2 linked regions of the Drosophila melanogaster genome follow. The protein of the gene in region 1 purifies or fractionates together with the protein of each later gene. This does not show direct contact. Each region holds a gene or a part of one and is shown on either strand. Other genes may lie near its edges.

The links.
Region 2: the proteins of wnd (region 1) and alph purify together in Drosophila melanogaster (affinity purification with western blotting, with the first as the bait; one study listed by BioGRID). This does not show direct contact.

What each region holds. Positions count from the first base shown.
Region 1 is NT_037436.4:19,631,846-19,638,814, reverse strand, and holds the start of wnd (wallenda), read left to right. Parts: upstream 1-3,031; 5' UTR 3,032-3,384; exon of another isoform or gene 3,385-3,393; intron 3,394-4,351; 5' UTR 4,352-4,434; coding exon 4,435-4,583; intron 4,584-5,718; exon of another isoform or gene 5,719-6,380; coding exon of another isoform or gene 6,381-6,448; intron 6,449-6,969.
Region 2 is NT_033777.3:29,588,484-29,595,373, forward strand, and holds the start of alph (alphabet), read left to right. Parts: upstream 1-3,347; 5' UTR 3,348-3,684; intron 3,685-4,610; exon of another isoform or gene 4,611-4,788; 5' UTR 4,789-4,867; coding exon 4,868-5,680; intron 5,681-5,743; coding exon 5,744-5,861; intron 5,862-6,890. Other genes in the region: CG11470 (uncharacterized protein), read right to left, coding at 587-1,279; CG31041 (uncharacterized protein), read right to left, coding at 1,666-1,887, 2,025-2,399.

The sequences.
Region 1 (6,969 bases):
ATTTAAATTAATGCAAGCTGTTTTCGAAGCGCACTGTCATCAGGGGAATCAGATGCAGTATTAATTATTAAGTCGCCGTGAAGTGCGTTAAACAAAAACATTTCTGTGACAGTTGAATATATTGATATTTTGTATACTCTAAGTTGCTTTAAATAATAGATTTAAAGGAAAATTGTTAGACAGACCTAATGTTGTATACTACAACTATGTGCTACGGATACGATATACGCCCGATTTAATAATCTCAATTTTGTGACTACTATTTATAGATTCGTTTTCGATATGTACTCCGCCATTACTTCTAACAGCGAAGTGCGTATTCGTTGCTTCCCTAATATCTACGGTATACCTAAAGCTCTACTGAACCCGACTCCCGACTTCGAAAAGCCCCTCCTGGTAATATCAACAGCAGTTTTAAAATTAAACCTCAAATTGATTTCACCGCAACTCATTGTCAACCTCATAATACTTTCTGGCATTTTCCATTGCGCATTTTACTGGATTTTGATAACATTTGCTATTCCATAACTGACAATGAATGAAATGGTCTTAATTACAATCATTTGCATTGCATATCTGGAATACAGAGCCTTTTCGATATGGTTTTCCTATCCTATGGTGGCAGTTTCTAAACAATTCGATTCGTACTTAATAATCATTTAGCTTTTCAACAATTAAATCAAAACCAAATGTGCCAAGAAACATTTATTGAACAGCACTCGCTCCGGTATTTTTGACAGCACTGATAAGGCAACTCTAATAAACAGCACGTAGCATTTTCTGTCGTCTAATATAATTACATTTAATTAATGAATTAAGCATTTACAACTTAGTTTATACAAGATGTTAAGTAATAGATATTGCTGAATCCGATAAATGTCGATTAGAGATCTGGCTTCTGTGCAAGATCACATTTGTAAGAATAGCTCCTAGGACATGTATTTAAGTTGGGCAATAAAAAAAACCACAAAACCTTTGTGAAATATTATTTTAATGCTCGCTTGTCTGCGAATGGAAGTAATAAATATTTACATTTTTTATTTCAAGAAACTCAGTTCTTTATTAAATTTCTAGATCAGAACTGCGTACATTGAGGAACATATTTAAAAGGTTTTCCATGATGGCAGCTTTAAAAAGAAAGTGTGTTATAACCAATTGACCATATTGGATTCCTTTTTTAAAAAAGGCAAAGTGAAAAAAATAACTTTCCTAACAAATAGATATTAAACAAAATGATTCATTATTTTGAAGCACAAAAGAAAGAGATATTCCAATCTTCCATTGATACACTATTATTGTTCTCACAACAATACCAACAAGATCCTTATCTCAATGATCCTCAACTACCCTTAACTTAGACTTGTTAAAGGCAATTCTTGTGTTGAGATCATATACCCCCTCCCCCTCGCAAGTGGCACTGATTGACGGGCATGGAACCTGCACCCTGGACATGGAACTGGAACCCTGGGAGATACTGGCCCTCGGTGTCCCTCAAATGCGTGAAACCCTATGACTCATGCGCAATGGACCAAAAGAAAACGCCTGAGCCGCACGCAGGCAGCATAACAATTTATTGGTCAGAACATACAAGAAAAGGTATTTGTTGATAACGTGGAAGGGGGGAGGTGGCTCTAAGAAGGGAAAAGTGGATTGTGTGATTGGTAAGGATACACCGCGACAAAAAGATCTTATATACTTATGGCGTTATGCTGTTATCATGGGTGATAAAGGTAATATTTTTATACATATGTACGTAACATAATAATAAGTTGTTAATTTCGAAATATTTCGTGTATAGAATAATGCTTTTCCAATTCATAGTAGAGACATTTATTATGAATATTATATGCTATGGAAATTCTAAGTATGTAAATATACAATTGATCGCTGAATATATGCTATGGAAATTCTAACTATGTAAATATACAATTGATCGCTGAATTCGCTAAGTATTTTCCACGATGTAGAAAAGCCCCCACCCACTAACATGTTCTCCAAAGAGATCAGTCCTCTGTGGGTATGAGTCATCTTTGTTTATGTAGAAATTATGCTACCTGCTGCACTATGTTATTTTCATTTTCGTGCTCTACCTGTTGTGCGAAAGCGGAGGAGCAGGGGTATGGGATTCGACACAAATCCGGAGACACCGTTTTCACAGCTCTGCTCTTGTATAGCAATTCTTTGATGACGTGCCGAGTTTAACTACATACCCAGCTTATGACGTACAGACTGATAAGCTGATAGGTTGTTTACGCAAGCGAATTGCATTTAAGAACAATTTAAAGTTTAATTTTTATATGTATGTATGTTTGTTTGTGTATAAAGCGAAAAAGTATTAAGATCATACTTTAAGTAACTTAGCTCATGCTTTTATAACATATATTGATAAAACAAAATCAAAATACATACATACATTCTTTTTAAGAGTATCACTAAGTTTTTGACTTTCCTTAAATAGATATACATACATACATATCTAGTTATTTATTTCATTTATTAAGAAGCTGACTTTTAAATAAAATTAATACCCACATTTAGTATAAAAAACTGTCTAATAATAAATTTTTCTACTTTCAGATGTTCTTTCAAAATTTTAGATCAAAGTTTCCAAAAGTTGCTAATAGTATTCTTAAATTTAGTACTTAATATTCGAAAGAGAAAATAAAAATAGAAATGAAAAAGAGTGTGGTAAAAGCGAGGTTTTAGATATTCAACGACACACAAATGTGTACATCTAATTTCATTGATTTGAATTATTTAATTTATTTATTTTTGACTTCATTATCTTTTTAAGCATTATTTTGCTAAAAGCTCAGAAGCAGCTGCCATGAGCGCTTTTAGGCACTGAACACGATCGTGCACGTCGCTGACGAGAGCTTTATTAAACTTTTAAGCCAGATCCAGTTTCATTGGCACTATCAAGTAGAGTGTGGTGAGCAAAAGAAAAACGGGGATAATCGGAGAGGCGACAGCAACAACAACGACCCAGTGCCTTGGCAGTTGATGTCTGTTTGTGGTTGGCCATCCCGCGCAGTCGCGTTCTCCCGCACACTTGCGCAGTGAACACAACCTGCGCTCCAAACTGGTTTTGGTGGAGGAAATCCGCAAGAGAGAGCGCTAGAGAGCGGATTGGAACTCGGTTTCGGCCAAAGCCAAAGCAGAGCCAGCAGCCAGTTTTTGCTTTTTAGTCGATTTGTATCTACCTTTGGTGCGGACGGTTGGTCGGAATAAACGCGTTTCGCAGCGGAACTCCAAGAAGAGCAGAAAACCAGTCTTTAATTGTTCCATTTCAAGCTGAAATCAAATAAAAGTTCTTCGCCAATGGCTGAATAAAGTACGAATCAATGCAATCACTACGATTCGCAGTGGAAAATTGCTGGAAAAGTGAGCAAAGTGTGTGAAAAATGTGCAAATACAAGAATTTTTATATTGATTTTCTTGGCCAAAAGAGCGAACGAGCGAGCAAAAGGCAGCAGCAGAGGAAGAAGAAGAAGCAGCAACAGCACAAAGCTGCGCTGTAAGGCTTCCGTCGTTGGTGCGAGCAAGAGGGGAGGGCCCTACTGGGTGGGTGTGAACGAGACAGCAATAGCGAGAAATGTACTCTGGTGTGTGTGTGGGAACATTTATGTTTGTTGTTTTTGTTATGTTCTAGCTTTGGCCAAGTTAAATTAAAAAAAAAAAGAACAACAAGAAGTGGAGTTGTACACAGGAAAAAATGATATCAAGTGCCTTTTCTTCTAATATATGTTTATCTTTTGAAAAGCAAAAGATATTATTCAAATGAGAAAAAAAATAATCATAAAGTAATATTATTTGGCGAATTATATTTTTTTTTTAACAGAAAAAGATTCTGTACTATATCTCAAAAATAATTGGAAAAGCATCTAACTTACAAAAATGGGATACAATATATAAATACATTTTTTGATATCTACTTTTTTTTTCTGTGTACAAATAAAAAGAATACCTGTATGTGAGCTTGTGTGTGCGCCTATTCTTTTGTGCAATTCGCCTTTTAAAGGCATCATAAAAATAGCTCAGCCTGCAGTTTGAAAGTGAAAGAAAACCACATTTAAGCGGAATGCAAAGTGAATTGGCAGCAAGTGCAATAATCGACCCTTCTTCTTCCCGTGTTTGTGTGTTTAAATAGCTTTTTTTGCGTGGGTGCTATTGCTGTCTCGCTCCCGCTCCTGCTCGCATATCCTTTTGCCCTTTGCCGTTTGACGTCGTTTGCTTCTTATTGATTTTCGTCATTCATTGATAAGAGGTTGCGAACGAATGTGCGCGTGTGTGTGTCTGAAAAGGAAATCCCCAGCCAAAAAATACTAATGTTCGTGGTATCTCCATATAGCAACCGCTTTATTGACCAGAATGTCGTAAGGATCGATCATAGAGCCACCAATACACATACCCAAACCACACCAATCCTGGACAATGCAACCGTTCAGCGACAGTCTGAGCAAAAGTCGCGATGATCTGGTCACCGCCGCCTCCCGGCAACAACAACAGCTACACGGACGGAGGCGACACCACGGCAGCAGCCCCAACTTGTCGCTCGATCAGACCGACAATCTGCGAAGGAGGTGAGCATTATTATTATTAGACATTATGGTCGTGATGGCTAAGACAAAAACCTAAAAGTTTTAGAACGATTTTTGTTTGAGTTGATTATAGAAAAGTTGTTGGACATTTAGAAACTTTATTTAAAGAGTAATCACATAATTGATTAAATCTTAAAAAAAAAACTAAAAAGCAACCTCGAGCATAAAAACCCCAAAAAATAAATACTTTCAGCCATTAAAAACTCGTCGTGTTTAAGTAAAAGAAACAAAATCGGCTTGAAATTTTAATTAATATTTCAAGAATATGCCGCCGAATCGTGCTTAATTAAGCGGGGTAATCGACCTTCACTGTATACAAGTTTTTATGTAATTCGCAAGCAACTGAATACTCGAAAGTATTTAGCAGGTTAAACGATCGTTTAAAAATTTAAAAAGCCACAAAAATCTTGAACTGAGTAACAATAAAAAATTCAACTTTATCCGATAGATACAGGATTCTATTTCCCAAATAGGAGGCGTCAGCTTTATTTTCCTAGTTCCTAGTCTCACTAAGTAAATAGAAATCATTAGAAAGCACGTGCAAACCAAAAAAGCTTGTTGTGAAATAATAAAAAGTTATCACAGTAGATATTAAAAGAGCATAATAATGACAACAAAGAAGACAGACATACAGACATCTACTAAAACACTGCAAAACAACAGTGTTAACAGATAAGCAGATAAAAGGGGTTTCATTATTTAAATAGCGAAATACTAGTATTTAATAATTTTTTGTAATTGTGATTGATTATAATATTACTAAGGAGAGCACTCGATTTTCAGGAGTAGAGATAACAAGCACACGGAAATGTCTTCATAGGCAGTATCCACTGTAAAAAAAATTGGGCGATACAATTTGCAGGGGGGCGCAGCCAAAAACTTCCTATTCGCACACTTACATCCACAGCACGACCACCTGTATCTGTATTTGTGTGGATGTGTGTGAGATTTGATCATGTGTTCCCCACCATGAAAACTGGTTTTAAGTGTGACCAGATGGCAGCCTGGCCTGGGGAGACCTCGAGATGGTTGGCCAGTCGATACAGGCGCTGGGGAATGCGGTCAGTCTGACAACAACAACGCCGGATGATAACAGCAGATGAGAGCGGAGCGGGAGAGAGAGCTCCATCCGAACTGATACTGATAATGTGGAGCTAGACCGTTATGCTCACGCTGCGAGTCGCGATTTAGTTGGCGAAAATCAATCGCTTCTGGTGGTCGCTCTTTGCGCTTGAAATTCGCAAGCCTGCCTTAATTTGCGTCCGTGTGTTTGTGCGACAACAAAAACAAAAGCGAGCTTATCGCCAAATCAGTTTGCAGCCGTTGTCTGTGTGTTGGTGTGACGCAGTTGTGCGAAATACGTGAAATTATTGCATTTTTCCCCCCCAAACCCAACCAATAAGCAACAGTCTTGAAAAACCGCCAACGAAAGTGTTACGCGTCGCGTTCGTCTCTCTTTTCTTGTAATTAATAGCAACAAAAAGCGATACCAACTTACCTTGACGTCACTTTTTTTTATTATTATACATCGGACGACAAAAGGCGATTGTTGTTGTTTTTTCGGTGGCTGCTGGTGCTTGGCACGAACTCACAATCAAAAGTTAGCCAACTTTTGTTGTTGGCCCAGTGCGTAAAAACAAAAAAAAAACAGAACTGCTGGCGAAAAGCGAGCGTAAAATTTTGCATTAATGCAGTCTCGTCGCATGAATGAATGAAATTCTTAGTGCGCGACAACTAATTACGAAAGGGAACCAAAAAAGTGGCAATAACAAATAAACCATGGTCTACATCATACCGTTCTTTAGCCACAATGACCCGCCCGACATGATCATCACCAAAGAAAAAAGGTAAAATACACGCACCCGAAAGTATCTCAAGATGCACTGAGTCACAGAATCTCACAGATTCACCGCTGACCCATGCAGAAATGAATGAAAAGAAATGGGGAGACGCCGCCAAATATCCGCGTTCTATGAACCACACGCCAAAGGTCAAAACGTGCTTGGCCGCATATCGCAACAGAACATTTGGGGACGGAAATTAATGCTTTTTCACAAATTCATAAATAAACGAAAGGTTTTTGACATTTGCACGGCGGGTGCCGCCAGCCGCGTGCGAGCAGGACGGCTGTATTGTCAAAAAAACAGAGAACGGTACACTAATGCGCGTGTGATTTTTTTTCCAATGATCAACAGGTAGGGGTGAATTCACCATGTAATGGAGTAAATCTTCGTACCCGAAAAGCGAAGATAAAAGCTAAGCGGCTATCAAATTATGATTTGTATTATAAGAAACTTTAATAAGCAGGGACAATACCTCCACTTACATATATCCACATTTCACCTGAGAGCCAACCAGAATTATCAGT
Region 2 (6,890 bases), on another chromosome or scaffold:
AAGAGTTTATTTGTTATCAGATACCCGTTACTTAGCTGGATGGGCGTGGCAACGCCATGGAACAAACTTGTTCTGGAATCTGCGTTATGATTTCTATGATTTCTTATAGTAGAGATACGCTTATAAGGACAGACTGACAGACAGATGGGCGGACATGGTCAAATAGACTCGGTTAGGTGTTACATACTCTTCATGGAATCAAGTATGCCGCCTTACTCTACGACTAAGGGGTATAAAAACTGATGTATACGGATTAAAGCAGTTTTTGTTATAAGACGTGAAACTGTGAATTTTTTAGCATATTTTTTTAAATTTTTTTTTTTTAAATTAAATAATTCACCGACTGATGTTATGATTAAAATTAATATAGTTTTATTTTTCGTATGGCAGCTATTAACAATAGCTGATACAATAATCTTAGGTACTGTCATGCTTTCATAAATAAGTTGGTACCCTCTATATTTTATTCAATCCTGTCATCTATTAAACAACTAAGCTCCACAGTGAATAGCTTGCATTCCTATATTATTTATTTATATAAAACAGAGAATTCAATTGCCTGATATATTTATTGATTGACTTTCTTTTAACGAAGTAAAGGTGCTGCGGTTGTTATTGTTGTTGTTGTTGTTGTTGCTGTGGTTGTTGTAGGGTAAGTCAATGGATTACAAGTTGTGGTGGTTGGTCCGTTCTTGAGGCAGTTGTTCAAAAGCTCGTAGGTATCGGAGGTGTCTTCCACATAGGAGCGATTTGCGTCATTGATGCAAACACTCTTCCGGCTCTCTAGGATCGTATATTGCTCCTGGATCTGAACTGCAATCTGCGTGGCATTGGCCGAAATGGCATAGAAGGTCTTGGAGCTCTCGGCCGAGTTGGTGGAGGCGCATTCGAGGCGGGAGACCACGGTGTCCAGCGGCTGCTGCTCAAGAGTCCAGACCTGGCAATTGGAGTTGGGATACGAGCAGCCGATGTTGGCGGACCTGAGAAGGATCTGGCGATCCTCGGCATACTTCTCGCTGATATGGGATGTGCAATTGTCATAGGCCGAGATGCAAGCCGTAAAGTTAGTTTCGAACTGATCCGCAATTTTGGCCAATTTGGGCTTGTAGATCGAGAAGCACTGCGTGGAGTGATCTGAGTGGACTTCGGCCAGCTCCCTGCTCTGCAGCTGCAGCTCCTGGATGTGGGCGTCTGGTCTAAAGGGAATTTGCAGCTTCACAGCCAGCGAGAGGCCCAGGGAAAGGCAGAAGACCAAGATCTTGGCTTGCTTTGCGAACATCTTGGCCAGGTTAGTTGACGGTGGATGTGACACCCAGACGTATTTATACTCCCATTTATCATTATCTTTTTAATTACACATTAATGTTATATATTTTCAATTACTGATAATGATGGCTCTAAAGGTTTGATGGATGGCAATGTTAAACGAGAGTAGATAAGCTCATGTTTTACTGCCAAAAACCTTTAAGCTTTCTTGATACACTTTTGAAAAACACCTTCATATTGAGCTGATAATGAATAAGTCGTCCAATCCTTTAGCTAGTTTCAGAGGTATAGGATTTAATCGTTTAAACTTGATTAATATTCACTCAAAGTCTTTTATTTACAGCGATAAAAGTTCACGAATACAGGGTGCTCGAGGTGATCTGAATCTTGACTCGAGTCCTAGAGCACGTAGTTCGTGCTGGGAAACTCCCAGTTGGGATCACCCAGGCAGGCTACCATGTCGGCGTAGCACTCGCCGTGGTTGGTGTTGTAGGTCCGGTAGGCTTCGATTTGGCATCTGGATAGCGTTTCCGAGATTACGGACACCTCGGCGAGCAGGCTGGTTTGGTTGTCGGATGCGTTGTAGGAAGCTTTCTCCAGTTCCTTGGATGCCGAAGGACCCTGCGATTGGGTGGTGATATTATTAATGCTATTAAGCGCAAAAAGTTATACAAAATACGGCTTAAAACACTTTAAAATACTCATTAGAGTATGCGTGGAAGATCATAGATTAAGCCACCATTGTACGAATCACTCACCCCAGAGGCCAAGCACTCGAAGGCATCGGAGTTCGAGGTCCTGCCATTGCAGGTCAGGAGGGAAAGGCAGGTGTCCCTCACGGATACGGACAGCTCGTCGCGGGAACTGCGGTAGCTTGAGTCGATCAGGGAGAAGGCCCCGTCGTAATTGTCCTTGCACGCGGTGAAGTCCTCGTTGTACTTGTCCACGTGACCCTTAAGGAGCGGGCTGTAGTAGTCCACGCATTCGACGTTGAAGAGATCCGATCGCATGGCCGGAGAACTGAGCAGGAGCTCCACCAGCGAGGACTCCCTCTCGGTCTCGACGGGAGTGGGCACGGCAGCCACGAAGACGGCGCCGATAGCCAACAAAAGGGGGACGGCCTTGAACGACATATTCACTTTCGACACTTGGAGAACTGGACAACTGGAGTGTGGGGCCCAAAGACCCAGACTTGGCTTTTATACTGTAGTAATTCCAGCAACTAGATTACTAATATTTATGATCCACAAACTATCTGGGGTAGTTCCTGATGTAGACCCCGTTATCGTGACGCCTTGTGGAAGCTCTTCAAATAAAAGGTGTCAATGAAACCCCCAATATCAATTCAACAATATTCATTCCATCAAATAAACTAAATATATTTTACCCATTATAGGCAAAGAGCTACATATGTATATCTACTTTAGAAATTTAACACCATGGAAAATAATTTCGTGTTCTTGTTATACAATATATGTTTAGAGAAAGGTAGTAAATAAGAGACACTAGATTTCGCTGATATTTTTCTTTGAATAATTAATAGTTTTATTATTTAGCTCGTGTATACTAATAATGCATGGCTTATACACCAATTTTATATAAAACATATCAGGAATTCTGTTTATGGTAAATATAGATGCCTACGCAATTTTTATTTACGTCACCTCTAAAATAATTACATTTACTATCAGTTAAGAGGGTATTCACAAATTTTGTATTGCAATTTGTATTAATCACTTGCAGATTATAAAAGATAACACAATTCTAAGAATTCGTGCAGGAAGCACTTTTGGAGTATGGACACTCATAAATTAACGCATACTTAAACTGGCGGAAGCCACAAGAACTAAATGCAGTGGATTTGAACAACTAATTTTTTTGAGTGCACTGCCAGGACCTCGTTTAACACATCTGTTAACATCTGTTTCTACATAGAGTGATGGTGTCTCTTAACTGCATCGCACTTAACATCGCCAATAGGATGGTGTACTTGCTTAGGTGGGTTGCGTGTATTCGCTAGAAGAGTGCCTTCGGTTGCTATCGATAGCCAATAGCTCTTCGAATATCATCGATAAGTATCGCCCTCAGTACATCGATGCCCGATGCTTTTTTACATCACTAGTCACTTTGTTAATCAAAATATTAGAAAAAACTCCATTTCCGCCTCGAAAGTGCATTTCGGGATCGCGCAGAAGTGTTATTAAGTGCGCGACTCGTTCGTTGATCTTAAAAGCGCTAGTAGGCGATGAAAATCAAGTGGAAAACGATCGTTTTTTCTTCTTAAACTTTTACTTACGGCAGACACGCACACGCACGCAGCTCACCGACGCACTCGCACACACACAACCACTCGCACGCGGAGAGAAGAGCAGCAAGCGGAGGAAGAAGAAGCAGATCATCAAACTTAAAATTTGCGAGGTGAAAATAACGAGAGGCGAAGGTTTTCCCAGCACCGAAGATCATAAATCGCGAGTGCGTTTTCATTACCTCCCATTTTTTGGTGGCCATGCCGGATTTCCACCACCCCCCGCCCCTGCTGAAATCGGTGCTGCCAACTTGCTGGCCACTAAACAAATTTTTTTTTTGTGAATGGGATATGGATGCTGTTGCGCGCAATTTTCCCCACATTTTCCACAAAATGTATTTAACGCCCACTTTCGAGTGCTAAATTTAGTCGGCCAAGCGGAAGGACGAAGCCGCGTCCTTGATAAATCGATGTGTCAAAAGGAAATGCAAAAAAGCGCGGGACACAGAGGAAATAGCGGTGAAAAGCGTGGGCGGGCAGCTGCCGCGAGGTCTTCCGCCCCGCCCCCATTTGTGTTTGCGCTTTTTTCCATGTCCTTGCAGTCGGCTTACAGTTATTGTTCTGTGGCACAAGTGCAAAACTCAACAGGGGGAAGCCCCGCAAATGTACCCTGTACATATGTATGAGCATGTATATGTATATTAATTATGAAGCGCCAGCTGATTCCAGTTCGGAATTCACATGTTTTTGCCGGTTTATATATATGTAGTTAGTACCTTATATTTGGAGTCCTTCAGTCTCAACAGTTCAGGTTAAAACAGGTTAAAATAACACAAGTTATAGTAAAAGTATTCAAATCAATAGATAATACTTATTTTGGATTTTCTACCAGCATCCTACTGACGGTCAAGATGCGTTTACGACTCATACAGGTCGAGAATTAGAAAGAGTATAGCAAATAATTATTTCATGTTCAGCTGAAATCAAACTGCCATGAGTCAACTTAACTTCCGTAGAAATTTCTATGAAATGAAATGGTTTTACAAAAGCCGAGACTTGCACATCCGTTTGTGTCAGAAAAATCCAGATACCATTTACAGGAATATTCAGACACAGTATTCAGTTTATTATTTGTGTGTGGAAAACTATAAACTATCTATTTTGGCATGACCTTTGCTTAGTCATCCGCTGGTGAAAGTTCAAGTTCAAGGTCTTGCTGGTTGATATTGATTGGCAGTCGTTTAATGGTTGCATACCCTTGTGTCCTCGATCCGTAGATTCCTTGGCACCGGCTAGCCGTAAGAGGAGGAGAAATTGCACCCGCCCGGCACACAGCACACAGCATGTTCAGTGAACATGGGCGGATTCCTGGATAAGCCGAAAACCGCCAAGCACAATGACGAGGGTGAGGGCAACAAGCTGCTCTTCGGGGTCAGCTCGATGCAGGGATGGCGGTCGGAGATGGAGGACGCCTACTACGCTCGTGCCGGGCTGGGGGATGCCCTGCCGGACTGGAGCTTCTTTGCCGTGTTCGACGGGCATGCCGGATGCAAGGTGTCGGAGCACTGTGCCAAGCACCTTCTGGAGAGCATTATTAGCACCGAGGAATTCATTGGAGGCGACCACGTGAAGGGCATTCGCACCGGCTTCCTGCGCATCGACGAGGTTATGCGGGAACTGCCGGAATTCACCCGGGAGTCGGAGAAATGCGGCGGAACTACCGCCGTGTGCGCCTTTGTCGGCCTCACGCAAGTGTACATCGCCAATTGTGGTGATTCGAGGGCCGTCTTGTGCCGCCAGGGTGTTCCGGTGTTCGCCACGCAGGATCACAAACCCATTCTGCCGGAGGAGAAAGAGCGCATCTATAATGCGGGTGGCAGTGTTATGATAAAGCGCGTAAATGGTACCCTGGCAGTGTCGAGAGCCCTTGGGGATTACGACTTTAAGAACGTCAAGGAGAAGGGACAGTGCGAGCAGTTGGTATCGCCGGAACCGGAGATATTCTGTCAGAGCCGCCAGGATAGCGATGAGTTCCTGGTGCTCGCTTGCGATGGAATCTGGGATGTGATGTCCAACGAGGACGTGTGCAGCTTCATCCACTCGCGAATGCGGGTGACCAGTAACCTAGTGAGCATCGCCAACCAGGTCGTGGACACCTGCCTGCACAAGGTGAGTCTTGATTACCATGCATATCGTCAAAGTTTTCACATGCTGTTCATTTCTTGACTACAGGGTAGCCGCGACAACATGAGCATCATCATCATTGCCTTCCCCGGAGCTCCGAAGCCCACCGAGGAGGCGATAGAGGCTGAACATCGTCTGGAAAAGCAAATCGAGAAGATCACAAGAGGTTGTCTTAGTCGTCTACTCTGTTTATAACTAATCGTAAACTGTTGACCCATGGCGTAGTGGTCTCCTCCGTCTTCGCGTCTCTTTTGAACCGAAATACGTATATTTTGTACCTTGAGCGTCACGAGTACTTTATATGGGCTCCTCGATGGCCTACAGTCCCGACCCAAAGTGCTTCTAGAGCTGTATATGCCCCACTTTGTCCAAAACTAGAATCTTACAAAACAATTCCTTTCCGAAGTAGTTCCAAAACGAAAAACAATACCAAAACGAAAACCAAACCATTGCCATTACTAATGCCAAGAATGAACTCCTCGCACACCCACCTCAAGTACAGTGAAAGCTCTATTGGATGGATAATAATAGGCACTGATAATCTATATGTGTATTTCTAATACTTATTTGAAACCTTTCGAATTTACAAATTCATATCAACAGCAAAAAGGCTGAAGTCCGTTTTTTTTTTTTTACAAGAGTGCTATATAAATGTTGTATACTCTACATAATGTGGCTCATTTATGCTCATATTCTTAGTGCTTAGACATCACGTACATTTAGTTATATATTCCCTTAGAGAGCTTTCACCGATATTTGCCTGTATAAATATGTAAATGGGGTGTGTGTGGGCGTTCGACCAATATCCTATCACTAATGCATAGCAAATACCTGTATAGCGTGTTAGTTTGTCATATCTGGTGGCTGTGCGTGTGGCTGACCAGTGTTCGTCTGCCCCGTGTGTGAGCCTGAGTTATAGTATTATTTATACATGCCTGTGTGCACTACAGCCACTGCCAAAAGCGTTCCATGTATGCGAAATCCAGCCCATTTAGCTTTAGTCGTACATATACACCTAAATAATAACAATTATCGACGAACCTGCCCGAGCTAAGTAGTTAAATGACCCGTCAACCAATTTGTATATACATTTACTTGCATATACGTATACCCCATTTGATACTAGGCGCGATGTGAATCAATCAAACGAAATTGCAATACTTAACGTACGCAGGTATTGACACTCAAAACAAAC